Linked DNA regions of Danio rerio. The protein of the gene in region 1 purifies or fractionates together with the protein of each later gene. This does not show direct contact. Links are inferred from orthologs where the notes say so. Each region holds a gene or a part of one and is shown on either strand. Other genes may lie near its edges.

Evidence for each region.
Region 2: the proteins of chaf1a (region 1) and cbx3a purify together in Homo sapiens (affinity purification with mass spectrometry; 5 studies listed by BioGRID and IntAct, with this or other methods). This does not show direct contact. The link is inferred for Danio rerio from reciprocal best matches to the Homo sapiens genes CHAF1A and CBX3.

The regions. Positions count from the first base shown.
Region 1 is NC_133197.1:22,139,833-22,143,652, reverse strand, and holds part of chaf1a (chromatin assembly factor 1 subunit A), read left to right. Parts: intron 1-326; coding exon 327-571; intron 572-659; coding exon 660-720; intron 721-802; coding exon 803-871; intron 872-3,357; coding exon 3,358-3,572; intron 3,573-3,702; coding exon 3,703-3,820. UniProt on the Homo sapiens protein: Acts as a component of the histone chaperone complex chromatin assembly factor 1 (CAF-1), which assembles histone octamers onto DNA during replication and repair.
Region 2 is NC_133194.1:22,210,365-22,214,923, reverse strand, and holds the start of cbx3a (chromobox protein homolog 3a), read left to right. Parts: upstream 1-1,590; 5' UTR 1,591-1,789; coding exon 1,790-1,792; intron 1,793-2,515; coding exon 2,516-2,655; intron 2,656-3,038; coding exon 3,039-3,207; intron 3,208-3,317; coding exon 3,318-3,412; intron 3,413-4,302; coding exon 4,303-4,429; 3' UTR 4,430-4,559.

The DNA.
Region 1 (3,820 bases):
CTGGTTTGTGAAGGCTGAGTAAATGTAACTATTTCTTTAGATGTGGTTATAATTTGTTGAAAACAGTAATGCCAGAAGATTGACCTACATTGAATGAATGAGAAATGTTTGCACAGTCTGTCTACAATGACTGTGAAGCTTTGAGTTTAATCACAAAACCAGTAAAGTTGCTGTGAATGGCTGAAGTTTGGCCTTTAGAGGTTAATGCATTTTTTCCCCGTCCCTCAAATTTGATCCAATTGTTAAAGAGTTAAAGGTGAATTGATTGTTGTCGCTGTGGAATTTTGTGCTTCAGCTGAATAGCCCTTTGTCTTTTTGTCCCTCAGAGTGTTCAAGAGCAGGAGGAGAAGCAGCGACAGAGGGATGAGAAAGAACGGCTGAAACAGGAGGCCAAAGCTGCCAAGGAGAAGAAGAAAGAGGAGGCCCGCAAGATGAAGGAGGAGAAGGAGAGGGAGAAAAAAGAGAAAAAGGAGAAAGATGAAAAGGAGCGGCGGGAAAAAAAGGAGAGGGACGAAAAAGAAAAAGCAGATAAATTAAAAGCTAAAGAAGAGCAACGGCAGATGAAAATTGAGTAAGTGACCCAGTGTTTCACCACAATGGAAACTGCGATGGGGTTTACCCTAATTTGAGAATTTAACTCTGTTTTAAACTTTATTTAGGGCCAAACTAGAAGAGAAAAGGAAGAAGGAAGAGGAAAAACGGTTAAAGGAAGAGAAAGATGTGAGTGTTTCATTGCTGAGAGTCTTGGATGTGACTTTGGCAAGCTGTGCAGGCCCTCATAGCATTTTTGCATCTGTTTTAGCGAATTAAAGCTGAGAAGGCTGAGATTACACGGTTTCTGCAAAAGCCCAAGACCCAGTTGGCACCAAAGGTAAGAATCACATAAGCATTTACACCCCCATAAGCACATAAACTGTAAATAAAATTTAATCAAAAACAATTTTAACAACCTCCGGAAGTGTTAAGGACCATGCTCAGATCGAGTAGTCAGTCACCGATCACTATTGGCCGATAATCGCTTGGTGGGGGGATTGATTTGCAATATCTACAAAGGCCGATCAGATGATCAGAAACTCGAGACACATTTTCTTTACATGGTGCAAGAACAGAGTGTGTGAATTGTGTGTGCCTATGCAACAGAGGGTTATGCAAACCCTCTACTTATGCAACTGAATATGTGGATATTAGTGGAAAATATGATTTCTTTACCTGTCCCATTTGAAGGGCTCCACAACAGCTGCCATAGCCTCATATCGTCCATAATTAGGCGTACTCAACAGGCGGCGCCGCGTCACCATGAAGATAGGGTATTTTTAAATAATAATTTATTACTTGCACCATGCCTTTAGGGCTATTCACCCATCTCATCCAAAACTGTGTTGAAAACATGATGAGCGCCGCTTTTTTCAGCAAGTTCAAATCCCTCACAAACTTCTGCTCTTTCCGCATTTGTGGTTAAGTGCATGTTAGGGCCGGGTGGTATATCGGGTTCTGGGGATGTATCAATATGATTCCCCAACGCCGTACGGTATTATCTAGTATCTTTCATGTCGATATGGTTTAAAGCCACATGTGTGCATTCTGTGCAAAATAAACCACTCCAAGGTAGCACGCAAGCTCCACTTGCACAAATAAGCGCATACGCAAATGAATAATTCACTCCAAGAGTCATACAATATTTGAACGTAGAATATTCATACAAGAACGAACGTAGACACCTTGTCAAATTGACAAGCAGCACCTGAATGTGTTCAAAAGAATTAAAAATACCTAAATGGGACAAATTTATACCGCATTTTGAAAGTGAAACCACCTCATATTCACTGATTATAAGTTCAGTATTTATTACATTCTCTTCTTTACATTTACATTAAAACACATTTAGCTCTTATATGCTTAACCAGCATTTAATCACAGTACTCTGAAACTATTTCGTTACTTTTCATATCTACAGTCTATTCGTTTTCATCTCCTTTAATATTTAGTAAAAATAGTTTAGTCAAAAACAAAAAAACTGTGTTTTTTTACATGGAGTGAAAGACTTGTTTTTAGACGTCTTCGATATGTGCACTTTTTAATAATTGTGCAAAAACATACAGCTGAATTGTTGTTTGTAAATCACAAAACTGCTATACAGGATTACTTATAAAAACACTGTAATTGTGACATAAAATACTGTGTTTCATATTTACATTCTATGTGGTTCTTTTCTATCCTACAATACGTTTTGTAGTGTTACTATTTAAGTGTAAATTTTTTGCTCTGACAATGTAGCTGTTTTCTATGGTTCTGTTTACTTTGTTGTTTGCACAACAGCACAGTAGAGCTGTGTATAGTGTTAAGCAGGCAAAAAAAACTGTACTTGATTTATTTATCAATCATTTTTTTATAATTTGAAATGTTGTGCAACTTGTAGTTTTAAGCAGGAGAAAAACCCGTACTATGTTTTTATCGAAGATTTTGTGCAGCTGTTATTTTTTTGTGCAGCTGTTTATTTGTAAACAAATATATTTTGCTCAAAAATGTTTAATAAAGTTTTAATAAAGGCTTTGACTCTAAAGTGACCATTTATGGGAAAATACCGGATATATATCGTATGCCATCGTTCGTCCTAAAAATACAGAGATATGATATTTTGTCCATATCGCCCAGCCCTAGTGCACGTGGGCCAGAGCCATAGAGGGCTATGGTGTAGACTACACTCGTATAGCATTTTAATGATGCAGTATCGCGTCTTTACAATTTATATTGTGTAAATGGCAGATGTTCCTTATAGCAGCATAAAAACCCAAACATATTCAAATTGTAACGCAACGCTCAAATTACAATAAATTGAGGTGTCACGTCTTTTGGTGTTAAAATTAGAAATGACAATGTGTTTTAAAAGCATTACCCCCAACATTCTGCCTCTTTTCTTAGTGGATGGCAAAATTAAAGATTATCATGGGCCAACTTTGGCCCTTTAGGCCCTAGTTTGAGTCTATATCTGCCCTACACTGTTCTTATTAGCTAACCAAGTACAGGCTGCTATGTTTTAGGTTGGAATGTTGCTCATCAATAAATGCAGTTGTCATATGATATTTGTAATATACATTTATAAAAACATGAATAATAAAAAGCTTCAATTAAACCCTGTAATCAGTGATCAAATTGATTAAGATGCGTCTTTAAAAGGTAGTTCACTCAAATCTAAAAATTGTCCTTCACTCAACTTTGACTTGTTTTAAACCAGTTTTTTTTGTTCTGTTAAAAATGTTTGAAATAATCAATCATTAACATTCATAGTATTTGTTCTTTTTGGCCATTTTGTCAAGTAATGTGTTAATGTAGGCATTTTTGTATGTTCTTGTGTTTCAGACTCTGGCTTCTGCCTGCGGGAAGTTTGCTCCGTTTGAGATCAAAGCACACATGTCTCTGGCACCGCTAACTCGAGTACAATGTGAAGACTCTGTGCTAGAGGACCTGGACCGCTATCTTGCCCAACCCGACAGTACTCTGAATGGACTGAAGGACTGGACAGGGCACAAACCTCGCAGTTCAGGTCCCACCAGACCCAGGCATAGTGCACAAGGGTAAAGCCACACTGAGCCTGTTGCTTGGATTTGTTTGTATTCAATATATACTCGTGCAGAACACTGTCAGCTGCATTTGTTAGAGGGATGTCAAAAGACATTTTATTTGGTGTATGTTCTGTGTTATTAGAGACTGTGTGGTCATAACTGAGAGCCAGAAGGCAGATGATGGACCAGACCGCAGTCGTTACGGCCGCATGAAGCTCCTGCATTTCCATGACAACTATCGGCCAGCTTATTGGGGAACC
Region 2 (4,559 bases), on another chromosome or scaffold:
TGAATTACACTACAAAGGATCTAGGGGGATAGCGGGGTAAAGTGAGACACTTTTTACATTTTTACCCCTCTAAGCTATTTTCACCCACATGTTCCTGGATTAACATCTGTATATTGATCTTTAAACAACATTCCAATCAGCCAATCAGAATTAAGGGGTACATTTACCGTTTATGTTCAGTTTAGGCTTATGATTATGTTTATGCACTTCTGATGATTGTTATCCAACTTATTCCCCTCTGATTTTGAGAGTAATGTACAGTTATGGCTGGGTTTAGGGGTAGGGAATAGGTATGGATTACAATTTCCAACAAAAATGATGCTCCAGGATAAACATAGATGTTGATCCAGGATCAGATCGTACTTGGCAAAACCATGATGTGCGTATCTCGTCATCCTCAACTTCCTTAACCATGCAAGTGTAATAAACGCTTGTGTTTTTTGTTGCAAAGTTATCTATGACAAAGTCTCCCAAAGACAGATTTGTGTTTCTTGGACCACTACTCTCATCCTTAGAGCTCATTTCATCAGACACATTATCAACTAAGACAGGGACATCATTTTTCCCAGAGCTGCTAACTATGATTTTGTTTTTGGTTGCTTTCTCTTTTTTTTTTTTTGATTTTTCCTTTTATTTGCTATTCTTAAGCTTTTTGTTTCTTTTTTTTGGTGTTTTTTTTTTTGTTTGTCTTTTTTTATAGGCCTTTTCAAGTGTCACACGGTTTCATTTGGATTGTGTTCTGGGGAGACATTTGAGAATGGTAGCATTTCATGAAGAGACATGTATCCAGGTTGGCTAGAAACACATGGCACATCCATGTAGACTATATGCGCACTGAATGGAATAGCATCAGTTAGTGAACTATCTGTAAGTGGATCATCTGCAGGAAGTAGATCATCCAAATCTTCTGTAGTGCCAGGCTGGAGCTCAGGATTTGCCTAGTCTGACACCATGAATAGTGCAAAATGCTTTATCAAGGAAAATTTCCCATGGAAAAATTCCAGTGGACCTAAATCCAGAAGTGATGTTGCGAAGTGTCACTGCTCGTTTGAAGGCCTCGTTCACAAGTCCTACAATCTGGTAGACTAAATTTAACTTGTGCCTAATGTCTCACTTTACCCCACTGCCACATTTTAGAAATTTTTTTTTTTTTTTTTAGCAATTCAGACTAATCTTGAGCTAGCATACTCACATCGTTTTATATGTTGGTAGTTCATGCTTTCCAAAGCACCAGGAATTCCTATTATTCATGGTAAAGGAGATATGGAAGGGGCTTTAAAACAAAATTGTTATAGAGTGATATATAAAATTCGTTGCCTAGATACAGGGGGTATCTCACATTACCCCGTTCTCCCTTTGTTGTGTCATGTTCTGGATGTAGTAGGCAATAGGCTAAACATATAGAGAATCTGTTTTAGAGATCTGTTTAATGAGTGAACACTTAAATTGAAGTTAAGTGATACGGTGTATCTCTCAAAATAACTGAATCGAGATGTTTTGCCATGGTAATCTGCGGATGTGCTTTTGAATTCACAGGCGCTCCGCCCAACGTAAGACTCATTGGATACACGTGATTGCTCTCAGATAGGCGTGGCTTTACGTCCTCGCGTTCGATTCTGGCTGGCCTTCGTCGAGCCTCAGTCGGCTTTTCTTCTTGATTTATTAGTATCAAGTAAGTAAAACTTTTAAAAGTGCGTACTTCGTTGGCGCGGGAGCAGTTTCTGTAAAGCCATTTGCAGTTCAGAAGGCGTGAAGATTTGTTATCCAAGTTTTTATCTTATCCATTGTCATGGTGAGTTTCGCGCGCATGCCTCTCGTGCTGCAGCACCGTCCATTGTAGTTTGTTGTTTGAATGCTGCAGTCTTGTTTATTTTAGCTTATTTTTGTAAATCTGCTTTTAAGCCCTTTAAGTTGTTTCACTTTACAGAAATGTAGGATGCATATTGCACAATGTTTTGTAACGTCGCGATGTTTTGTCTGTTTCTGTGAGCATTTCCTGCTAGCAAGTTGGCTAACGCGGGCTACTGTAAACCAACACGTGTTTCAGCAAATATTAAGCGAACAATATTTTTTTGTGGAAAGTTATACGTTCACGCGAGCTGTGTGTTCGCCGGGAAATCTTAAACCGCTATAAATTCGAGTGGGAAGTTTGAAACGCTTTCAGGGCCCTTGGCCTGTTCATGCATGCGCAGTTACCATTAGCTCGCTAACATTCAAGCACACTTAAAAGGCACCACATACTAACGCGTTTTTAACCCTAGGCTAGCCGTAAAGGCATCACTGGATTTGAGAACCCCCCTAGCATATAGTATCATTTAATTTCTTAGTAAATGGGCAAACATTAACGTTAGCCTTTTTACTATTATATTACAAGTCATAAACAGTTAAACCTTTTCGTTTGTTATTTTGATACAAAAAGAGCAGAGTCTTAAATTTTTAACATTTTAAATTTAAAGTACTTGAAATGAATGATAAGGTCTGGTTTATGATGTCATTTGTGTGTGTGTGCATTTAGGTCAACATGGGTAAGAAGCAGGCAGGCAAGTCAAAGAAGGAAGTTCAGGAGATTGAGGAGTTTGTGGTGGAGAAGGTAATGGACCAGCGAGTGGTCAATGGAAAAGTTGAGTTTTTCCTCAAGTGGAAAGGCTTTACAGAGTGAGTACTTCGTCTCTTTTGCAGCTATGAAAAATAAACGGAATTGTTTTTGCATATATTTTGATTTGTGAGTGTAGCTGTATGCTATTAGATTGTAGGGGAAAATGACTCTCCATCAGGTGGTTCCAGTTTTTAATGATTTTTTTTTGAACACTAAAGATAATATAAAGCAACCTGAAAACCGGTAACCATTGATTTCTACAGCAGGAAAAGCAAATACTGTGAAAGTTAATGTAAACAAGTTTCCAGCTCTCCTCAAAAAACATGATTTGTGTTCAATGGAAAAAAAATCTAACAAGATTGGAGCAAGTGAAGGATCAGTAAATTACAATTTTCAGTTTTTAGTAAACTATCTCTTTAACAAGGTATCTATGTTTCCTCAGTGCTGACAACACTTGGGAGCCTGAAGAAAATTTAGACTGTCCAGAGCTGATCGCCGCATTCCTTGAGTCTCAGAAAGGAGTGGTGGAAAAACCAGAAGCTGTAAAAAGAAAATCATCCACTGATGAACCAGAGACAGAAGAGAGCAAGGCAAAACGAAAGAAGGAAATGGTAAGATGTTGTGTTGGTCATTAAAATATCTAGCAGATGTGATGTTTTTTTTAACATTGGTTAAATTTGCTAAATCTAAACTAATATTGTTTTTTGTTTTTTTACTGTAGTCTGACAAGCCTAGGGGTTTTGCAAGAAACCTTGAACCAGAGAGAATCATTGGGGCGACTGACAGCAGCGGGGAGCTCATGTTCCTCATGAAGTGGTAAGAAACTATTGTGGTTTTGTAATTGATTTAGAACATGTTTAGCTGAGAAAAAATAGTGGGGGAAGTCTTGATCTTGTTTTGAATCTGTTCAACTTCTACAAGTCATACTATATGAAGAATATTTGAAACCTATTTTAACTTGGTAAATAAAATGTTTGTTTGTTTTGTATGAAAAACAATCCACAAAAGAAAGCTATAACGTTTTGGAATAACATTTGAGTTCATTTTAAAGATTGTTTTAAAGGCCTGTAGAGGGCAGCAGTCCCACGCATAAAACCTTTTTATTAAAAAATAAAGAGGCTTACTGGAGGGCTCATTGTGTCGGCTTATTTTTATTCAGGGTTTCTGCAGGGTCTTAATGTCTAAAATCCCAAAATAAAAAATGTAGGCCTTAAAAGTCTTACATTTACTCTGTGTTGTAAGTCTTGAATGTTTTTTTTAAACAAGTCTTAATTTTCCTATGTTCGTGTATTGCTAGCCAATCTGGTCAAAACTCATACAATCACCAACAATCCATCTCAAATTTCTATTCAAAAAGGTAGTTTAACTTAAATTTTTAATTTGTGTAGAAGTGCTCCACGTGTTTACTGCTCAGGACACAATTATTTATATATAATCAAAGGTGTATGGTATAATTTTTTTTTTTTTTATGAAAAAAAAATAAATGTGTGTGTGTGTGTTTGAATCCATATCCATATTTTAAATTAAACTGACAAAATACATTTGTTTTAAAATCTAGGTTTTCAACATCCCTTCAATAAAGCATCCACAAGATAATTTACCTCATTTGCAATGCAGAGGTCATTGTTTTGAAGTGCAACACTGTACTTCCTAGTCTAATTGTTCTGTTTGGTCTCTAGATAAACTTCTTTGTCTTGTGTTTACAGGAAGGACTCTGATGAAGCGGACCTGGTTCCCGCACGAGAGGCTAACACCCGTTGCCCGCAGATAGTTATTGCTTTTTATGAAGAAAGGCTAACTTGGCATTCTTGTCCTGAGGATGAGCAGCAATAGCATCCCACATTTCATTACAACTTTCTGTGTTGGTGTCTTCCACCTGTGCTGTGTTGATAGCCTGTCAGTGGAGGATTCTTTTTGTTTTGTTTTTTCAGTTTATTGAAGATTTGTCTGGAAACTATGTGCA